Cricetulus griseus: one gene and its partners. The protein of the gene in region 4 interacts with the protein of the main gene of each other region in a pairwise test. Links are inferred from orthologs where the notes say so. Each region holds a gene or a part of one and is shown on either strand. Other genes may lie near its edges. The genes, in order: Larp6, Sos1, Khdrbs1, Itsn2 and Was.

Region 1 (4,195 bases), on a different chromosome or scaffold from region 4:
CACCTTTAAGGAAGCCAATTCAGATATGACAAGTCTATGGGTTGCTATGACAACCAGGTGCATGCTAGATAGTATATAACCAACAGAGAAGTTGTAAATGAGGGGTCCAGTTCAGATAAGATCAGATGTACACTCAAGAATGGATGCTTGGAGAATATGTAGCTTTAGAAATGGAAGTAGAAGGAAGAGATGGAGCAGGAACCTGTCATGGTTCTGGGGAAGAAGCTGTGTCACCTTGATCTCCACCTGAGCAGCTGTTTCCTGGCTTTTATCTGCACCCAAGTTCCTGGCTTTCATGAGGACCTCATATGCACGGGATTGAGGGCCATCCTACTCTACAATGTGCTCCCCCTTACATTAACATCCACAGTGACTGACTCCAGATAAGGCCAAATTCTGGATCCCTGGGGCCTGAGGCTTCAATCTGTGAATTTGGAGGGTGGCAGTTCAACGCATAACTAACTCGCTGTCTCCCTCTGACCTCAGCAGTGCCACGACAAGTGGAGGTGAGAATGAGCGTGAGGAACTGGAGCCGGAGTGGAAGCCCCCGGATGAGGAGCTCATCAGGAAGCTGGTGGATCAGATTGAGTTCTACTTTTCGGATGAGAACCTGGAGAAGGATGCCTTCCTACTCAAGCACGTGCGGAGGAACAAGCTGGGCTACGTGAGCGTCAAGCTGCTCACCTCCTTCAAAAAGGTGAGGCAGGTGTCCCAGAGGCTGCTCATAGCATTTCAGGGGTGTGGGCCTTGTGGTGTTAAACATTTTGATATTTTGTTTTGTTTTACACCCCACCACCCACCCCCTGCCAAGGCCCTCCTGCCCAGCAAATTTTTAATTAAATATGATGCCTGAAAAAGAAAAATTATCAAGAGAAGGAATTCAGTGGTGATAGGTCCTAACTCAGGCGTTAAAGTGTTTACCATACAAGCATGGGGACCTGAATTTGATCCCCAGAATATACATGAAAAAGCCAAGCTTGGTTCCATGCCTGTAATTCCAGAGCTGGGAAGGTAGCAAAAGATCTGTGGGACTAAAGAGCAAGCCAGCTTAGCCTACTGGGTGGGCTCTATGCCAATGAGAGACTCTGTCTTGAATATAGATAGATAGATAGATAGATAGATAGATAGATAGATAGATAGATAGAGATATGGATAGATCCTGAGAGGAATGACACCCAGGACTGACATCTGGTTCCGATACACACACACACACACACACACACACACACACACACACACACACACACACACACACACACACACACACACGAGCATTATGAGAGCATTCCTGAGAACATACTTGCATGCTATGTAAAGTGTTCTGAGTGCTAGGATAGATCTCAGCTGGTGGTTAGTAAGAAATGCTGTGACTTCCTCAGTAATGTTTGGGTCTTCTTGCCAGGCACACGGATGCCCAGAGGATGCTACACCAGAACAAGGGGTTCTGGAGACCTTGAGAGATGCCTGTCAGTCTAGAATTGCATGACACCCACTCATGCTTTCCACTTGAGGAGCTGAGTCAGTATGGGATGGGAGAGAACACACAGAACTCAGTGAGAAAATCCTCCTCCGTGACTCCAGCATGCTCCGCTCTGTGTGATACCAAAGGGAACTCTGTGTACCAGAGTGATAGATGCTGAGGGGGCACTGGCAGCCACACAGGAGACTGCCCACCCCTGCTGTGGACAGATGCAGAACTTGGGCCCTAGACTCCGTGCTCTCAGAGGACTGACTAACCAGTTGGAATAATGACTCTGTATCTCCCTTGGGAGAAGTGTTTTTACTAGAATGGGAAAGCACCATGCAGCTTGTTGCATAATGGCTTATGTAAGGAGTGGGTCCCCAGAAGGAGTGGTCCTGGCCTAGATGCCTGTGCACTTTTTTTGTACTGGAGGAAAGCTCAACATCTTGCGGCTTGTCTCTGTCTGGTTCCCTGGTATGCTCTGCCTTCTTCATGGGCTCTTTTTCTTTTATTCATCTAATACCAAATGTATTATTCTTTGTATTTGATGAGTGTTGTGTTAAGTGCAAGAGGTACAAAATGAATATGGTATTCTGTCTTTCCTTGAGAGACTTACAGTCCAACAGAAGACAAGAGATCCATGAAATGCTATGGGATAACCACAGACAAACTGATGGAAGACATAAAGATATTTGGGGACTAGCTGATCAGAGCAATGAACTCTATCTAGAAAACTGAGATGTATTCTTGGAGTGATGGCGTTGGGATGTGGTCTTGGGGGATGAATAGGAATTGCAAGGTCCCAATGGGAAGGAATGCTTCATGTTCAGACAACAAGATCTGCCATGAAAAATACTTCCAGGGTTGGGGACTTCTGAATGAAAAAGCCAGTGGGATCCTCCCCAAGGGCTTCAAGAGCCACCCTGGTTTTCTCTTCTTTCCTAGCTGCCACTTACAGATACACTCAGGAGCACTCTCTCTTTAAAGCCAGCTGCAAGGTGGACAATTCACACACCCCCAGCTCACACTCCCCAGTTCACACCCCCGCAAGTCAGAGCACAGACTTTTTCCTTCTAGAAAGATTTCCCGCCAGTCAGAGGAACGTGTCACAGGAAAGCAACAAATGCAAGGAGATTACAAAGCGTTTGTTCCTTTCCTCATCACTGTGACAAAATACCTGACAAATGTGGCATATGGCTTTAGGTCAGTGTTGAAGGTGCACCCCATCCTGTCAAGTAAGGCACAGCAGCAGCAGTGTGAGGCGGCTGGTGGCATGGCACCCACAGACAGGAAGCAGAGCAGAGGAGTGCTGCTGTTCATCTTGCTCTCTCTCTTTTGTTCAGTCAGGGACCTGGCCCTGAGATCAGACTACCCATGTTTAGGGTTCATCTTGCCTCTACAGGTAAACCTTATGGAACCCTCCTCACAGACACATCCAGAGGCTTGTGTCCATAGAGATTCTCAATCCAATCAGGTTGACGATGATGGGCAACCATCACACAGAGTTTCTGACAGTCTGACAGAGTTCTAGAGTCTGCCCAAGGCCAAACTTCTTTCTTTAAAAAAAAAAAAAAACGTGTGTGTGTGTGTGTGTGTGTGTGTGTGTGTGTGTGTGTGTGTGTGTGTGTTAGTGAATGCATGTGTACCATGTGTATGCAGTACCCTCAGAGTCCAGAGGAGGACATCAGGTCTTCTGTAACTACAGTTATAGACCGTTGGGAGCCATCGTGTGGGTGCTGGGAATTGAATCCAAGTCCTCTACAAGAGCAGCCAGTGCTCTTTACTGCTGAGCCATCTCTCCAGCCCCCTGGTTTCCATTCTGATGTGATATTGGAAACTCGTAAAGCATCACAGACATGGACCTGAGATGCCCTTAGAGTAAGCAAGGTTTCCCAGGGGACCTGGCTCTTGCCTCTGTGTGTGCCCTCGTCCTCTACAGCTCTCCTCTCTGGTAGGACATGGTCCTCCCTAGTGCTCACCCTCCCTGGTAAGGCAGCACATGCTTCCCTGCTCTGACTTGACTTTGAGCCTAGGAGGGATTTCTTCGCCTCTCCTGCATGCTCCCTTCCCAGCTGTTTTCACAGATGGCTCCATCATGCTGGCCCTTGGCTTTCCTACAACCTTGCAGTCATCTTCATCCATCTGAACCCCTTCTGGATTTCTGATTGACTAAACGTTCACTAGAAAAACCCAGGCCTGCTTCTCTGACTCATAGTGATCCACCCAAGGACTCTTTGTAGGTGACCTAGGGTTTCTTCATGCTAATAATGAGAGGCCACAGGCCACAGTGAACAGTGTACATGCTCCAGCAGTGTGTCAGTCAGGACTGGGGCTCTGTGGAGGTTTCCCTGGCCTGTCCAAAAAGAGAGGCTTCTTTTCTTGCTTTCTGTGCCTTCTCTGTTTGAGTCCCAGGGGCAAGGGGAATTCCTGGTTCCTCTGCAGATCAGCCTCCTGGACCTGGCCTTGGAGGATTCTGGGTGATTTCCCCATCCAGGCTCAGGTTACCCACCCCACCCACATCCTACCCTTCTCTGGGATGACTCATGGCCCTGGCAGGCCCTTCACTGGAAGTGGGCTCCGCAAAATTGCCGTTTTATGAAATAAATATAGCTTTTCATATACTGCAGCATCAGTACACAAGGTTTCCATCATGGGAAGGAAGGGAGGAGTTGTTTCATCAGTTCTCAAGAGGCCCAGGTCAGTGTAATTCCATGTTCTGGTGTCTGTCCCCGT
Region 2 (4,195 bases), about 12 Mb from region 4:
TTCAGGAAACTTAAGCCAACAACTGGTACTACTATGATTTGAGCTTACCAAGCAGGGCTAACTGCAGAAAGAGCACAAAGTTAAGTAGATCAAGGGTGATCAAGGGGGCAAATGGACCAGAACTGCTTGCTTGCCTTAGTGCTACAAATATATCATATTACTGTCTCATTGACATCTCAAGACAACCCTAAAAGGCAGAAAATGTCTTCCATTTTTAAGATGAACTCTTGAAATAACTTCTCAGCTTGAATGTTGAACAACATACCGGTATAGATCTGATTCAAGCAAAGTGAGTTGCCGAGCAATTTCTATTGGGTGTAAGGTGAGCAAGTCAAAAGTCTCTATGTGCCCAGGTCTGCTTATGTGCCACTCAACTGTGGGAGGTGAGCTCTGAAATGTAATATTAGGACCTGGGCCATTGTCTCTTGCAATTTTTTTCCTTTGGATTATCTTAGTGATGGATTCGACCCATTTTTTCATTGCTTTACCTGAAATACATTTTAACAAACATTTAAATACTCTTTAATACTTTATTTTTAAATATGTTTAAAGTAATACAAGTGATACACGAATAAATCATTGCTATAAAGTCAAATGTGCAAAGTAAATACTAAGAGTTCCCCTCCCCCATCTTCTCATCCTTCTCCAGATAGGTAACCATTGTTAATAATTTGGCATGTATCTAGACCTTTCCTAAATGAATGTAAAAGGTAATTTGATTTTTCACCTCCAACACTTTGAACCTTAGTTCAAAATACTATTTTTTATAATTCTTCCATACAAGGTATATTCCATACAAAGATTAATAAATTACACACATTCACAAGTCTAATTAATATTGTATTTTATAACCCATTTATGAGGACTGATCGATCATATTAGTCTTATTTGATGTGGCTGTCTTTTGTACTGTACAGGAAAGTAATCTATTTAATCCTTTATTTTCTGATTTTCCTTTAGACTGAACAATGGCTATAAAACCAAGTTTGTCTAGGGCACCCTTAAAGTCACACAGTCACAGAATTTTTAAAGTAAAGGAAACTTTGTGATAATCAACCCTAATTTCTTATGAATAAACTGAAGTCTAAAGAACCAAAATTATGTATCTGGCTAGTAGTGATGGTAGGTAGTAGTAGTCTGTCAGTGTAATATGCTACTTGTTCCATTTACCTAATCATATACCTTTATCAGTGGTGCTACAATGGTTAAAAAACATTCCACCATCTACTGTAGGTAGCACATAGTTTCAATTAAGTGGTCTAGCTTAAACTGACACCTAAAAGACCCAGTTCTAAAACAGATACAAAGTATACTGAGTCAGCAGGATCACTGCTGAGCAATTTACAAGTCTCAATAATGGTTTTTTGTTATTGTTTTGTTTTTTCAGACCTAGTATCACTACTGTAGTCCTGGCTGTCCTGAAACACACAGAGATCCACCTGCCTCTGCCTCCTCAGTGCTGGGATCAAAGGTGTGCACCACCATACCCAGCCAAAGTGATGTTTGATGAGAAAGTTTAACATTTTCAAATGAGCTATAATGTATCAATTGAGGGTAATCATATTGGTAATTTTATCACATATGCAAGTAGGAAATTAGAAACATACCTCTTACAGTTCCAATAAATTCCTCCATTCTTTGTAAAAGGTCTGCATCTCTTTCAAAGTCATAAAAATGGTGCTCCACCCAGTGCCGACACACATTTAACACTCTGTGGCATTAACACAACTGGATTACATGGGGTCTTACACTGAGTGTACACATGAAACAAGAGCAGCCCTTACCAATAAACAATCTACTAAAGCTGATAACTCAGAGAAGACTCTTAACTAACCCACTTGGTCTGCCTCCTTCACCTGACTTAGGACTTTAAATGCACATTGAGAAGCTGTGGTTTCTATGAGGCCACGCCCTCACTACTCACCGCAGCTGGACAGGCTGAATGTACTCCTTTCTAAACCTCTTCAGCTCTGCACTCAGTGGCTGATCTCCATTTTCTAGAGCTATTCGATCAGCTTCTGTTGGCTCAGGCTCCGGAATTTCAAATCTACCATGAAACAGAAAAAAAAAAAATTAATGAAAATATTGTATCAAATTCAGATTCACAAACTTTTATTTATACTTATCAGTATAATCAAGAGACTACTATAAAAATTACTACAGATATACAAGGCTTTTATAATGTAAAGGCTGATTACATTTTTTTAAAAAGAAGTTAATATTGCCAACAGAGTTAAAACTAACTAGAAGCAAAATAACAACACATATAAAGTCTAAAACAAATGGGACTAATGTTAATTTTTAGTCTGTAGATTACTCTAAGGGTAACTAGTGCTTGAAACTTGATTGCCCTTTGGATAGATGAAAAACATTTTCCTTGATAAAAGCATTTGCTCACTGACAAGATTCATTTTTATTCAATATGTAGTATATTTGAAAATTTGTTTAGAACTTGTGAAGCATTAAAATCTGAATTTCTAGTGTGTCATTATTTTAAAGGTGTGGTTTCACGTAGTTCAGGGTAGCCTTGCACTCCCTATGTAGAGTCAAAGATAACCATGAACTCTGATTCTGTTGCCTCTACCTCCCAAATTCTTGGATTATAGGCTTATGTTTAGCCTAGAGTCTAAATCATACATATTTATATATTATTTAGTTCTTTAAATTTGAGCTGGGAATACTGCTTAGATTGAACCAAAAGCCCATGGCTCAATCCCAGTGTAGCCCAAACCCTGAAAAGTTGTAATTTTAAATACTAAATAAATGAGAAAAAAAAGAGAGAGAGAGAAATCTATTTAAATAATCAAAATTAGCATGGTTTTGTAAACCCAGTAGTAGTTTTATCTTAAACTCAACTACAGTTACACTTATTGCAACATTTTTAGGAAATATGTAACTTAATCCTTTCCAAATCAAAGAATTCAGACATATAAAATGGACAGACCGTTCTATTATAAGATTCAGTAGTTCTTGAGGTTTGCAAAAGGATCTGTATGTTGTAAGAAATGTCCGAACAAAATTGGGATCTGAAAAGGAAAAGGAACAGTATTAAAGTCTCAGGTAAACAATGATTAAAACTATTATTTTCAGTTTCAAAAGAGATCAAAGACTCAGTCTCAAAAGCGCCCAGATATTGCGAGGTGTTGGTGGCGTACGCCTTTAATCCCAGCATTCAGGAGGCAGAGGCAAGAGGATTTCTGTGGCTGTGATGACAGCCTGATCTACAGAGTGAGTTGCAGGACAGGCTCCAAAGCTACACAGAGAAACCCTTTCTTGAAAAAAACAAAATCAAAGCAAAACAAACAAACAAAAAATGCCCACATGTTTTACCCATATATGGCTTTGAACTTTAATGTATTGATACCTTTGGTGCCTCCTAAAGCAGTGGCTTTAGAAAAACAAAAACAAAACAAAACAAAACACTGATTGTAAAATATGATCAGCTGATTTCTTTTCCTGTCTCAAATTTATCATTGGCAAAGGAATGTGCAATGGAAAAAAGCAAGGACAGGGACTTGAACCAGGTTCCCTTTTGCTGCTAGGATCTCAATGTGTCACCTGTTGGGTCACCTACCTAGTAGAGATAGCAGTAACAATAGCCTGTCCATTTCCTGACATCACTTTAATTAACTATGTTTCCTAACTTCCGGTAAATCATGTTAACAGAGCAAAGAACTAGAAACAGAATCTTACAGAGTAGTAGGGTTAGCTAAGTAGTTAATGGTTTTGATTGCCAGAGGCCTTATTTTTAACTGCTAAAAAAGGGTCAAACCCCTCTAAGCTATAAAAAAGACACGAGATGGCTCAGTAGGTAAACGTCCTTTGCCATACAAGCTTGGGGTCATCGCATCCCAAAAGCTGTCCACTCACACACACACACACACACACACACACACACACACACACTGCTTGTGCCACACTCATGAACATGTGTGAACAGAGATCTTGTTTTTACTCTTTCTAAGCCTGTCATTTGAAGTAGTTACAATAAAAGTTCAAAGTTCAGTCGTAATAGCAGGAGGCTGCAACCTCTTCTTCAAAGGTCCACTGTGCATGCACATCTCCATGGGGTAGAATGGAGGTCATCGAGTCTCGTCACCCTCCTAGGCTTGCCTCCTCCAATCTCTCCTTGATAGCACTCTCCCAGGTTAGGAGAATGGTAAAGATGCAGGCCACTGTTCTGGGCATAAAGAAG
Region 3 (4,195 bases), on a different chromosome or scaffold from region 4:
ACACCACGACCCCTACAAAAATAAATAAATAAATAATATATTAATTTGAGTTTTAAATAACTAAATCATATTCATGCTCAGGGTTGTTCATAAATACTGGAGCTACAAAGATTTTATATTTTTTACCTACTTGCTCACTTATTTGAGACAATGTCTGCCTGAGTTGCTCTGGCTAGCCTAGAACTCATACAAATCCAACTGCCAATGCTAGAGTGTTGGGATTAAAGGTATATTGCCACAACACCCAGCTAATTTAAATTTCTTAAAGGTAGACTCTTGGTTAAGTCAGAACCTGTATCTCTCGATTGGCCCCCCCACCCTTTTTTTAACCTTTCCCTTTGTTTTTGAGACAGGGTTCATATTTACCCAGTATGGTCTTGAACTCACTATGTAGCTGAAGATGACTTTTCACTTCTAGCCTTTACTTCCCAAGTGCTGGAATTACAACTGTGTGTCACCATACCCTGTTTGTAAAGTGTTAGGGATCAAACCCAGAAATTTTCACATGCTAGGCAAGCATTCTCTACCAATGAGGCATATATCCAACCCTAAAATAGACATTAAAACACAGAATAATGCACACATAAGAGTACCTAAACTAGAAGATTCTCTGGGCTCAACAGTGGATCATACCACCTCAAGACAATTCTAAATTGTCTGAACATTGCATAAATTTTAAACTGAAAAGGTAAAATTCCAAAGTCATACTAGATAGTCAGGTTTGGTGACTTAAGACTTTAGTCACAGCACTTCAGAGTTAGAAAACTGGTTTATAAAATAGCAAGCGCCGGGTCAGTCAGGGCTACATATTGAAAAAGACAACTAGGGGGCCAGTGAGATGGCTTAGTGGGTAAACAAACAGCTGGTTAAGCCTGACAACCTGAGTTCAATCCCTAAGACCCACAGGATAGGACTAACCTCCACACCCATATATATATCCCCCACCAAAGCTCACAACTAAATAAATACAATAAAAAAATTTTTTTAATGCTAGGACTGTCCAAAGTTAGAAGCCCCAAAGTTTGAGTAGGACTGTACACTTGTCTATGGACAAACTGCTAAGATCTAGAATTCTACACTTGACATACCATTTAAACCATGACTCCTCCTGAGCTAGAGGTAAGAAGCCTATCAGCAGTCTAATTTATATTTCCTTTTCAACTTTTTTTTTTTTTTTACCTGGGAACAGGTGGAGGAGGAGGGGCAGCTCCTCTTCCTCTCACTGGTACCCCACGACCACGAGAGGGTTCAGGAACTCCATTCAAGTAGGACAATTCTAGAAATTGCTCCTGGCAGATATCATCCATCATATCCTGGGAATTAAAGATAACAAAGAATGTGTAACATCTCCTAAAAATCATGTGGCTCACATGAGCCTTGGAGCTTAAGAACAGCCTTGAAGCTGGGAATAGTGGTGCATGCCTTAAATCCCAACACTCACTCAGGAGGCAGAGACAAAGGCAGGCGTATCTCTGTGAGTTCCGGACCAGCCTGGTCTACAAAGTGAGTTCCAGGACAGCCAGAGCTACACAGAGAAACCCTGTTTCAAAACAAAAACAAACAATATTATACTGTCACCTCTTTGAGGAAAGTCTTGACAGCCCTTACTAATAGAGGAGGTTCTTCATAAAATAGTTAAGTACCTGCTTAGCTCTCCCCATCACTCTTCTCTCTATAGACAAAACTTTCTCAAGTCCAGCCAAATAAGCTATAGCCAGGAATATTTGCACAAATACATTATTTTTAAAGTTACTTTTCCTAGAATAACAGAAGCCACTACCATTAATGAAGCTCTCTCTGTCAAAATGAGGGGACACATCAAGATCTCCTCACAGTATAATTGGGAACTCTGACCCTTACAAGACATATTAAAGGTATAGCTAAGCGGTAGAAGGTATGCCTAGAGTACATACAAAGCCCTGAGTAAAATCCCTAATGCTGCCACTCACTGGGCTAGACTGTCTATACAGCAAGCCCCACAGATCTTCCTGTATCCCCAGCAATGTGACTAAAGGTATGCACTACCATGCCAAACTTTTATGTTTGTTGGTGCTGGGAGAACCAACCCAGTCTTGTAAAACTGATCGAAAGTATTTTATGAATGGAGTTTATCTCCCCAGCCTCAAGAGCCATTTTGTATCTTTAGACCCAAGCACAATTTTGTTATTCATCTACTACTATTTAACACTACTTAACGTTTGGGGTGAACAAAGGAGCTCATGGCTTGGAAAAGTGGAATTAAAGGTTACCCAAGAAAAGCCAAATGTGGTGGCACATATCATTAATCCCAGTACTTGGGAGGCAGAGGCAGGCAGACCTGTGAGTTTGAGGCCAGCGTAATCTACATAGTGAGTTCCAGGACAGCCAGAGCTATACAGAGAAACCCTGTGCCGGAAACCAAATACATAATAAATAAATAAATAAATAAATAAATAAATAAATAAATAAAATAGTAGAGCAATGTCTTTTGCAACTCTCTACTTTCCTTGACCTTATACACCATTGCTACTTAAGAGTAGATAGGGTCAAGTACCAATGTCTGCTCACTGTTCAGGTATCTTCTACTGTCACATTTGTCAATTAGGATAAATTTTAGGTCAGGCGGTGGTGGCAATGTAGGCGGATCTCTGTGAGTTCAAGGCCAACCTGGTCTACACAGCAAGTGCCAGAACAGGCTCCAAAGCTACACAGAGAAACCCTGCCTCCAAAACAAAACAAAAAAGAAATTTCAGTCTAGTATAAAGTATTTAGTAAATATAAATAAATTTGGGAGACCTGGAGACAGAGTTCAGTTGGTGGAGTGCATCCCTAACATACACGAACAAGCCTTGGGTTGGATCCCTAACAACACACAAAAATCAGGTGTGGCAGTGCATGCTATTAATAATAGCAAATGAGGGGCATGGAAGACCAGTGAATTCAAGGGTACCCTCAGCTACATAGCAAACTCAAGGCCAGGCTGGGCAACATGAGAGGTTCTCAACAAAACAAACAAAAACCAGTGTTTTGTTTACACTAGAGTCCCATCCTCAAGATACCTTATTATATATTGGAAAAATCCCAAAATCGGGCGGGCAGGGAATTCCCAAACTTCTACCATAATCAGGTGACACTATTATACACCATTTTCTAGGTATGGTGGAACATATCTTTAATCCCAGCACTTGGTAGGCAGAGGCAGGTAGATCTCTGCAAGCTGGAGACCAGCCTAGACTACAAAGTAAGTTAGTTCCAGGCCAGGCAGAGGGATACATAGTGAGACCCTGACTCAAACAATTAAAGAAAAATTACATACCATCAATAGTCATGTGTGTAACATATACCTCTTTTAAATCAGACTTTGAATAAAAACTCCACCATAAAAACCCTTCAGTGTATCTCATGAGAATACTAGATGCTCTAAGCTTCCTGTTATCAACTCTAGATTCAAGAATATAGCACATAAAAGTGCAGATTTACCTTAAATCATTTTCCTACTGAACTGAATGAAGCCCTTATTAAATCTTTGTTAAACAGATTGTTAACACCTCAGGGACCCAAAATATTGACAACAAATACCAGTACGTATTAATGAAGTCCTATTAAACAAGTATGCTTTGGAGTACAGTGCTTTGAGAATGAGGTGTAAGTAGTGGGAAAACTTCAGTAAGATGAACAAAAGTACAGACCCTAGGTCAAGAACCCTGGCCTTCTCAACAGTATGATCCTAGCTTCTTCCTTGCTCAGAAAATAAAGAATATGCATTTCCTTACTGGTACTAGAAATTTCTTGACTTCCTCCATAGCATGGGCCATAAGAGCATAAGCTTCACAAGGGGGTCCAAAGACTTCAATGAAGACGTGGAGATCCATATTTAAATGGGCATATTTAGGGTCTCCACCCTTTCGAAGTTCTTCCTCCTATGGAAAAATGCAAAGAAATATCAAATCATATACAGACTAAAAGAAAACACCTTTATCTCTAGGCCAAAGGGAGACAGAAATAATTTAATATGTAAAACACCTGAACTCCTAAGAAAGAAGTAAAGCAAGTCCTAGAAACTGGAACTTACATTACCTGCTAAAACTATACTTGGTTAACTGTTTCTTTAAACATTGGAGCATTCAATGCAGTAAATCTGAAGAACAACAAGCTAAAGCTTAATTTTAGAATCTACTCAGATAATAGTTTTGTTCGGTATTTAGAACTCTTTATC
Region 4 (4,195 bases):
CTTGTTTTGCTCCAGGACACCAGCCCAGGGGTGGCCCAGCCCACAATGGCCTGCCCCCCAGTCATTAATCAAAAAAAAAAATGCCCAACAAGCTTGCCCACAGGCTGATCTGACTGGGGCAATTTCTCAATTGAAGCTCCTCTCAGATGACTAACTAGCCAGCTCATGGGCTATCCTATTCATGCATGGGGTGAGCATGAACACTAAGCATATAAAATGTATATATCCCAGGGATATGTGAAGGCATATATGAGCTAATCTTATTTTCTGTAAGGGACCCTGACTCATCTGTAGCTCTTGCTGAGTAGGGAGCAATATTTATTTATTTGTTTATTTGCTATATTCTTCCTAAAATGACTGAATTTCATTTAAGAATAGGAAATTCCTAGTGTGGGTAGCCACTGTAACTTCTGTTTGACTTTAAAGGATAAACTGGGAATGGAATGTAGCTCAGTGGTTGAATGTTTGCCTGCTATTTGTGAGGCCCTGGGTTCAATCTCCAGTACTGCAAAATAACAAAGAATAAATTCAACTGATCATATTTGTTATTATTAGGAGCTTGAGTAAAAAGGGGAGGGGTTAAGGAGATTTTCTTTTCTATTAGGATACACAGCTGCGTTGAAGGTTTGAAGTCAAAGCTAACATTTGTGAGTATGCAGCAGGTGTGCTCTACACAGTTACAGATACTCAGCTAGTCAGTTTTATAATAACATTGTTAAGTAATTAGGATTGTCCCTATTTCACAGAGAATGAATCTGAGGAATTGACAAGCAAGGCTGTTCAGAGTCATCTGCTTCAAGTGGCAGAGGCAGGTTCAGCCCCAGCAGCTTGGTTCTCAGTATGTGGTTCACAGATCCCTGGGTGCCCTTAGGAGTCTATGGAGTGAAAACAACTGTTATGGTAATATTAGAAACGGTCCTTTTGCTGTGCCTACCGTTACAATGGTGAATAAAATGCCAAAGACTTGGCAGCATCAAACCATATTTTTACTTCAAAGAACTGACAAATATTTAGACTTAGGGTTTAGTAAACATTTTGTTCAAAATGAATTAAGTATACTTGCCACTTCAAGGAAAACAGACTACAGGGTTTCTTGCCAGTGTTAAAATTCAAGCTCCCCTCTCCCACTTAATTCTTTATGCAGTACTGGGGCCTGGGGATTGAACCTCAGGTCTCACACTTGGAGGCAAGGGCTTAACCCCTGAGCCAGATCCCATCCCTAATTTATCCTTTAAAGTCAAATCAAAGTCACAGAACTTTTATTCTTAAATCAGCTGAGGCCATTTTAGAGAGAATACAGTCCTAAAAATCCACCCTATCGACAACGTGACATGATGCTGTCATCTACTAATGGGTTGAGCCTTATTCATGGTTAGTTATACGATGCCACAGGTGCTACTAAGGGCCTCAGATCAGTCATGCCTGTTAGACATCTATGACAAGTGATGATATTTACAGATGTTATTGTCTTGATATTATATAATAAAGTGTGTCAATACAAGAAACATCTGTACACCTCAGTGAGCCACTAGTTTCTAAATACAGTGAATGATGTTACGATTTTTCACATGAGTAAAGGATATATTTACAATGAAAAACAGACTAGTGAATTTTAATATAAAATATTTTACATTAAAATTAAATGAATTTTAATATAAATTAATTTATTTTAAAACAGACTATTTTATTCAAATAGACAATGAACTTATCTAACAAGTTTATATATTAATTTATCAAATTAATTAATATATTAGAGTATTAAATTAATTAAATATTTTTATTGTTGATTAATACTAAGTAAACATGGATAAAATTAAAAGAATTTTAATATGAAAGTATTTTAATATAAAAGCATTCACCAGTATGATATTAAATTACTAGAGCTACAACTAATTTATAACAATTTACCCTGCATCAAATTTTGATGTAGTAGAATCAGACTACCAAGAGATATCTGCAAATATTAAAATACTTTTTTACCCCCATATCTGTATGAGGCTGTATGTTCTTCATATATTTCAACCAAAAGAAGACATCAAAAGGACTGAAGCTGAGCTTGGTGATGGACATGTGTAATATCTTCACTTGGGAGGGCTTATATACATGAAGATAAGGAGTTCAAGGTCTTGGACTTGTACCAAACATGAAGACAGCCTGAGCTATGTAAGACCCTATCCCAATGATAAAAAGAAAAACACTGAAAGTGTAAAGCCAGACTTACTACAGAGACAGATAAGGGGTCTGTCCTCATTTACACCAGCAGCCATAAAAGGTTTGTAGAAATAATATATCTCTTTTTTTTACTTTTTCTTGGAAAATTGAGTTATTTTTCACAAAAGCTTCTTATGTTTTCACACAATGAATTTAATTATTTAAAATGAATACTTAAATGATTTCAGCTTTAATTTCTCCTCCTCCTCCTCTTCTTCTTCCTCCTCCTCCTCCTCCTCTTCTTCTTCTTCTTCTTCTTTTCTTCTTTTTTTTTTTTGGTTTTTCAAGACAGGGTTTCTCCGTGTAGCTTTGGAGCCTATCCTGGCACTCGCTCTGGAGACCAGGCTGGCCTTGAATTCACAGAGATCCGCCTGCCTTTGCCTCCCGAGTGCTGAGTGCTGGGATTATGGGATTGAACATGCGCCACTAACGCCTGGCTCAGCTTTAATTTCTAATATGGTAAAGATCACTGGGCTATAGCTCACACACTGATCCTCTGTAGTTTTTTTTTTGTTTTTTGTTTTTTTTTTTTTCCTCAGTACAGAAAGCCTGCAGGTTTCCACATTACATCAGAATGGTTGTGTGGGGAAGCAGCGGAACTCCAGAATGTGGACCAGTGGAGTCAGTGCTGGTGCAGACTCCTGTCAGCTGGCAGGAGTTCTGTGGACTCTAGAGCCAGTCCTTTTTGTCAGTGACCATGAGGATCAGTCCTATCAATGGCTTATGATCTTTTTAGTCTATGAATCCTGTGCTCTTTATCTTCTAACTGGGGCCCCAAAATAAAACCTATGTAATTGGAGCTACTTTGAGCAGTTTCACTGTGATGAATGAAGCCTGAGCAAAACAGTAGATCTCTGTATTAGCATGAATCCTGATTGGTAACAACAGAATGAGTTTGTTTTAATGAAAAGAACACTACCTCTTGATCTTTAGGTTTGACATAGTTGGATGGGAAGATTCCAGTTCTCTCTCCAATACTTCCTGTCCACCACTCTCCATCTTTCTGGGTCACCAATATTTCTTCACCTTCATTGAAAGTCAAATCTCCAGGCTCTACACTTGAGTATGGATAAAGTGCAATGTACTCTGTAGTGAACAAGGAAAGGCAAATGTTCTGGATTGAGACTACAGATGTACAAAAGAAAATGGGCCAATCTCTAAGATGTAGAGGTTTATGGTAAAAGACAGTGAATCTTACAACTTCAAACAAGGTCTTCATGTAGAAAACAGAACCAAAGCAACTACTTAATAATTATCTAGGTGAAGGCTAACAAAGTTTACCAAGGGATTTACATTTTTTTCCAATTGCTGCTATTTTGTTAAAGAAAAGAAAGATTATTGCTTAGACTTCAGGGACAGTGGGCTCTGTGGCAACAAGAGTAGCAATAGTCAATCTTTTACTTTCATTTATTTTGTCTGAGATAGCACCTCACTATATAGCTAGCCTTGGCTGACTTGGAAGCAGAAATCACCTAACCCTGTTTCTCCAGAGCTGAGATTAAAGGCCTGCCCACTTTGTCAATCATTTTTTTGGTAACAAAAAATTATCCTAAACTACAAACATATAGTATCTCTACAAATAATGGAACTGAGGCTTAATTGGAGTGCTACTTGGTGATAATGGAGTCAAAACAATCTTTAAACCTTTAATGTAAAATATACCCTAATGTGCTAATGTTTGTTCTTTAATTGTTCTGTACACAGTTATGGAAACACAAGTTCTGCCATAAAGCTCTAGCTCCTAGCATAGTGCTTGGCACAAGCAGATGCTAAATGAGTCTTATCATGGGATAAGTCTGTAGTTTTATACTGTCTTTGAGTCTTGTTCCTATAGTTACTACAACTTTGAAGAAACAGAAACTGTGTTTTAGAAGTCTTTTTATTTTTCTATTTTTATGTATATTTGTCAACACAGAATCTGATTTTTTTTAAATCAAAAACATACTTTGTAACCTACTTATTTTCCGAGAGTCATGCTGCCTAG
Region 5 (4,948 bases), on a different chromosome or scaffold from region 4:
GTGGACTACCTGATGGGCCTATGGAGAGAATAGTGTGAATGAACCACTGATCAACTTACCTACTAGCTAAAGCACAGGGGCAAGAAATAGAAAGACTATTGAAGAAGGAATGTATGTGCTTGATGGTCATGGAGGAAATGAATGACAGAAGTCTTGACAAGGCCTATGAAGAGGTGGATGGGTCCCCAAAATTATTCAGTCACTGATTCATATATGCTTATCATTCAGGTAGTGACTCATTCATTCTCTGGCTGGTAGGCTAAATGGCTTATTAAGTTATTTATTTGTTTGATTATTTAATCTTCCCTGGGTAGAATATTACATTCTTTAATCTCATTTTTGTGATTTAATTTTGTATATGGGGTATATGATATAAATGTGTGTGGATGTGCATGCATGCATAGCACATTGTGGAGGTTGGAAGACAACTTTATTTTTTTTTAATTTTTTTTCTTTTTGGTGGCTGGAGAGACAGCTGTGGGTGCTGGGAACCAAACTCTTATATTTTGGGTTGTGAGCCTAGCCTTTAACGGCTGAGCCATCTCTCCAGCCCTATTTTTTTAATTTTTAATTTTATTTTATATATTTTTTTTGGCTTTTCGAGACAGGGTTTCTCTGTGTAGCTTTGGAGCCTATCCTGGCACTCGCTCTGGAGACCAGGCTGGCCTCGAACTCACAGAGATCCGCCTGCCTCTGCCTCTCAAGTGCTGGGGTTAAGGGCGTGCGCCACCAACGCCCAGCCTAGAAGACAATTTTAAAGAGTAGGTTCTCTTCTATCTTTGTGTGGATTCTGGGGATAGGACTCAGGTCTCCAGGTTCAGTGACAAGTGCTGAGCCAGCTCACTACCTCTCATTTCTTTTTTTCACTATCCATTTACATACCCATTCATTAATTCACTGGACCATCCATTCATTACTTGAATACAAGTAAGTATTCACCCATTTACCCAAATACCCACTCACTTATTTATCTATAATCTATCATCAGTTCATCTTCCAATTTACTCCTCTATCTGCTGCCAATCCATCAACATGCTCGGCTATCCACTCATCCACCCATCCACCTAGCCAGCCATCCACCTCTTTACAAATTTAGGCATTCATGCAACTATTCATTCATCTAACTCCTCACCGTCTCTCCAGGGACATGAAAAGCACCACTCGTTGGAGGCCAGCCTGGTCTCCAGAGGGAGTACCAGGATAGACTCCAAAGCTACACAGAGAAACCCTGTCTAGAAAAAAAAGAAAGAAAACCACCACTCACCACCCTGGTCTCCGCCTGGATGTGGGGGCAGAGGTGGGAGGCCTCCTCTTCTCTCTGGGAAAATGGAAGAAGTTAAGATGTTACATTGTTGCCACAGGTTTCTGGCTTAGTTCCTTATAACAGCTACATGAACTGGAGGACTCACCTTCATTGGTTGGTGCTGGTGGCGGTGGTAGCTGGCGTCTTTCTGTGGTTGAATAGGTAGACTGAGAGTCAGAACCACAAGAGGGGCTCTTCCAGCCTCACCTCACATGTCTAACTTATCTCCCCAACCCCCACCAAGGGCTTCTCCTTACCTCCACTTTGCCTCTGATTCCTTTTTTGTATCTTCTCCTGCACCAAAGCCCTGAAGGCCTGGGCTTCACTCTCGTCCGAAAAGTTCAGTCCTACTTGGCAGTCCTATATATGCCTTGGGGTCAGCAAACTTCTAGCACTCCCTACCCCCCAGGCTTTCTCCTGGCCTCCCCACACCCCAACTGCAGCCCAAGGCTAGGCTGCTCACTTACATCTCCAGCAAAGGTGTGGAAGAAGGGAGTGGGAGTGAAGTAGACCAGCTGTGAGTACAGCTCCTGTTCCCAGAGTAGCCGACCAGCCTGGAGAGGGGCAGGGTGGGGGACATGCTGGCATGCAGGCACTGTGGGTGGCAGACTTTTGTTTTCTGATCAGGGAGTGTGGTGTCCAGATTTGGTGTCCTAGAGTCTTATTTAGAGATCGTCAGCTCAATAGCAGAATTTGGGGTCTAGGTGTCTGGTATGGGGGATTGGGAGAGAGTCTTAGAAGCTGACACTGATGTGAGAGATCTAGGTCTGGGATTTGAGGACCATTTGTAGGAGTTGAGGGCTCAACGCCGTGAATTTAAGATTCTAGGCCTACAGGCCGGGCGTTGGTGGCTCATGCCTTTAATCCCAGCACTCGAGAGGCAGAGGCAGGCGGATCTCTGTGAGTTCTAAGCCAGCCTGGTCTCCAGAGCAAGTGCCAGGATAGGCTCCAAAGCTACACAGAGAAACCCTGTCTCGAAAAACAAACAAAAAACAAAACAAACAAACAAAAAAAGATTCTAGGCCTACAAATATTCACCATGTTGGATTCAGAACAGATTTGAGGCTTCGGCTCAGGTAGAAATGTGGTGTTTCAGGGGAGTTTGTGGAGCTGATCAGGACCCTGGCATGGGCCTTCTGAATTCAGTCATCTAGGACTCCAATGAGAAAACACAATTTGGGATTTGTATTGGTCTTTGGCTCTGGAGTTCTGATGGGAAAAAGGGCTTGAGGCTACGGACAAAAACTGGTTTTGCAGGTTGGAGACTAGCTTTTCTGTCCAGTGGGGCATTGGGTCACCTGAAGGCCATAGAGGCGAATGAAGTAGGACTTCTGAGGGTTATCCTTCACGAAGCACACAGCCCCGCAGTGTTCCATGGTCCAGTGCTCAGCTCCAGGGGGCAGTGCCAGGTACAGCTGAACAACTGCAGTGGCCAGTGTCTAGGATGGGACAGCAGGGGGTCACTGGAGTCTGTGCACGGGTAACCAGGCCTGGCCCCTGCCTGCTTGAGGCTGTCATGAGCTTGGGGGAAAGAGCTATAGCCAGGAGGAAGGTAGATATCAAGATAGTCCTGGGATCCACAAACTGTGGTAAGTGGATGCTGGGAGAGGAGATGGGGGAAAGGGAAAAGAGGGATGATGGGAAGAAGAAGGAGCAGGGATGTATGGGTAAGAGGAGAAGGCAAAAGGGGGAAGAAGAGGTAGAGAGGAAGACGAGGAAAGGGAGGGAGACTGGGAGGACCAGGAGATCCCCAACTCACCCAGCATTTTCGGCCAAGCAGCTCAAAGAGTCGCTGGTTCTCATGGTCCTGGAGGAGGTTGGAAGGAATGTTCTGCTGAACTGCTGGTCCCCCTCGACCCCCAGGCCTGCCTCCTACAGGGCCACCACTCATGGTGCCTTCTGCCCTAGTCCTCTTCGGCTAAGCTCTGGGTGCAGGGTAAGAAGAGGAACTTCCGCAGTGAGCAAGGGAACAGGAAGTGCAATAAACCACAAGGGAAACAAGTCCTCCAGGGGCCCCCAGAGGGCCTGTCCTCCTCGGTAGAACTGACTGGGGCCATCCTCCATTTGCCTAGCTAGAACCATGTTTGTAATGAGCTCAGGGATCCTTTCTTCCTTTTCTTTCTCTTCCCCCCTCTCTGTCCCTCTCTCTGTCTCTCTCTTGCCATTTCCTTCTGACAAGCTCAGATCTCGCTCTAGTTGGTGCTGAGAGCTAAGCCATCTGCAGCACTTCTACAGGGTTCGCTGCTCAGAGTAGTCACAAGGCTGTGTCATCTCCTTCTTCCCTAAAGCACCAGTCTGGCCTGGGGTTGAGTCCAAGGCTCCAGGTGCTGAAGGGTCATTGCATTACAGCTTTTCCTTGCAATGGCGCAGTGACCCCATCTCCAGCCTTGAACATCGCCAACAACATATAAGCCCATGGCTTACTTCCTCATCATTTACCCTTGCCTCCTGTAGCTCCCTCTTTACTTTCTTCTGATCAACCTCATTCTGTTTTGTTTTGTTTTTTGTTTTGTTTTTCGAGACAGGGTTTCTCTGTGTAGCTTTGGAGCCTATCCTGGCACTTGCTCTGGAGACCAGGCTGGCCTCGAACTCACTGAGATCTACCTGCCTTTGCCTCCCAAGTGCTGGGACTAAAGGCGTGTGCCACCAATGCCCAGCCAACTTCATTCTGGAAGGAAGGACTTCACAGTATAAATAAATTCTAAAACAACATCTTGATTGCTTTTTTAATATTTGTTTTATTTTTATAATGTATTTAACTTTATTTTAATGTGCATTGCTGTGAAGGTGTCAGATCCCCTGGAACTTGATAGTTTCCAGTTGCCATGTGGATGCTGGGAATTGAACCTGGGTCCTCTGGAAGAGCAGACAGTGGTCTTAACTGCTGAGCCATCTCTCCAGCCCTTGATTGATATTTTTAAATTATGTTGGGACTTTTCAAAAGTATGTAACCTTTGAAGGTTTGATTTTCGCCACTTTTGGTGATGAGAATTGGATACAGGATCTTGCTGAGCAGTGGTGGTACTCGCTTTAATCCCAGCAGTCTGCAGGCAGAGGAATAGGATCTCCGAGTTCCAGGCCACCCTGGTCTACAGACTGAGTTCTAGGACATCTAGGGCTGTTACACAGAGAAACCCTGTCTCGAAAAAGAAAGAAAGGAAGGAAGGAAGGAAGGAAGGAAGGAAGGAAGGAAGGAAGGAAAGAAAGGACCTTGTCCATGCACCTTCATGTCCTCTAATTCCATTGCCCCTTTGATGAAGCAGGGCAATTAGGGGTTGGGCTCAGGTGTGGGGAAGCAGTCTGGAATGCTGAGCAGGTCTCAGATGTAGGTAAAAACTCTAAATTGGAGGTTCTCAGGCCTTCCTGGGAATCTCTTGGCTCTCCATGCCTGCAGGTTCAAGGTCTCAGCTCCTGAACTCAGGCTGCCATTTGAGATAGCTCCTCCAACTTCCTCCAACTTCCTCCAACCTCTCAGCTCTTCTCTAAATAGTTTATGGTGCCCAAAACACACAGAGCTATTGACACCTCCGGGCCCCAAGAACCTTACAACTTGTTTTTATTTTCTTTCATCTGGGGGCTGTTTTTTTTTATCTTCTTTCATTTGGGGGTGGGGGAGGGAGTTGGAGTCTCACTTAGTCTAGGATG

Evidence for each region.
Region 1: the proteins of Itsn2 (region 4) and Larp6 interact in a two-hybrid assay, tested with the Homo sapiens proteins (2 studies listed by BioGRID, with this or other methods). The link is inferred for Cricetulus griseus from reciprocal best matches to the Homo sapiens genes ITSN2 and LARP6.
Region 2: the proteins of Itsn2 (region 4) and Sos1 interact in a two-hybrid assay, tested with the Homo sapiens proteins (2 studies listed by BioGRID and IntAct). The link is inferred for Cricetulus griseus from reciprocal best matches to the Homo sapiens genes ITSN2 and SOS1.
Region 3: the proteins of Itsn2 (region 4) and Khdrbs1 interact in a two-hybrid assay, tested with the Homo sapiens proteins (2 studies listed by BioGRID and IntAct, with this or other methods). The link is inferred for Cricetulus griseus from reciprocal best matches to the Homo sapiens genes ITSN2 and KHDRBS1.
Region 5: the proteins of Itsn2 (region 4) and Was interact in a two-hybrid assay, tested with the Homo sapiens proteins (2 studies listed by BioGRID). The link is inferred for Cricetulus griseus from reciprocal best matches to the Homo sapiens genes ITSN2 and WAS.

Annotation. Positions count from the first base shown.
Region 1 is NC_048597.1:172,245,514-172,249,708, forward strand, and holds part of Larp6 (la-related protein 6), read left to right. Parts: intron 1-486; coding exon 487-697; intron 698-3,991; exon of another isoform or gene 3,992-4,159; intron 4,160-4,195. UniProt on the Homo sapiens protein: Regulates the coordinated translation of type I collagen alpha-1 and alpha-2 mRNAs, CO1A1 and CO1A2. Stabilizes mRNAs through high-affinity binding of a stem-loop structure in their 5' UTR.
Region 2 is NC_048600.1:3,662,842-3,667,036, reverse strand, and holds part of Sos1 (son of sevenless homolog 1), read right to left. Parts: intron 3,027-4,195; coding exon 2,945-3,026; intron 2,048-2,944; coding exon 1,925-2,047; intron 1,712-1,924; coding exon 1,608-1,711; intron 489-1,607; coding exon 266-488; intron 1-265.
Region 3 is NC_048595.1:23,297,814-23,302,008, reverse strand, and holds part of Khdrbs1 (KH domain-containing, RNA-binding, signal transduction-associated protein 1), read right to left. Parts: intron 3,900-4,195; coding exon 3,753-3,899; intron 1,314-3,752; coding exon 1,180-1,313; intron 13-1,179; coding exon 1-12. UniProt on the Homo sapiens protein: Recruited and tyrosine phosphorylated by several receptor systems, for example the T-cell, leptin and insulin receptors. Once phosphorylated, functions as an adapter protein in signal transduction cascades by binding to SH2 and SH3 domain-containing proteins.
Region 4 is NC_048600.1:15,504,756-15,508,950, reverse strand, and holds part of Itsn2 (intersectin-2), read right to left. Parts: intron 3,298-4,195; coding exon 3,131-3,297; intron 1-3,130.
Region 5 is NC_048604.1:114,563,310-114,568,257, forward strand, and holds the start of Was (wiskott-Aldrich syndrome protein), read right to left. Parts: upstream 3,244-4,948; 5' UTR 3,195-3,243; coding exon 3,063-3,194; intron 2,743-3,062; coding exon 2,602-2,742; intron 1,858-2,601; coding exon 1,771-1,857; intron 1,664-1,770; coding exon 1,561-1,663; intron 1,452-1,560; coding exon 1,410-1,451; intron 1,319-1,409; coding exon 1,265-1,318; intron 19-1,264; coding exon 1-18. UniProt on the Homo sapiens protein: Effector protein for Rho-type GTPases that regulates actin filament reorganization via its interaction with the Arp2/3 complex. Important for efficient actin polymerization. Possible regulator of lymphocyte and platelet function.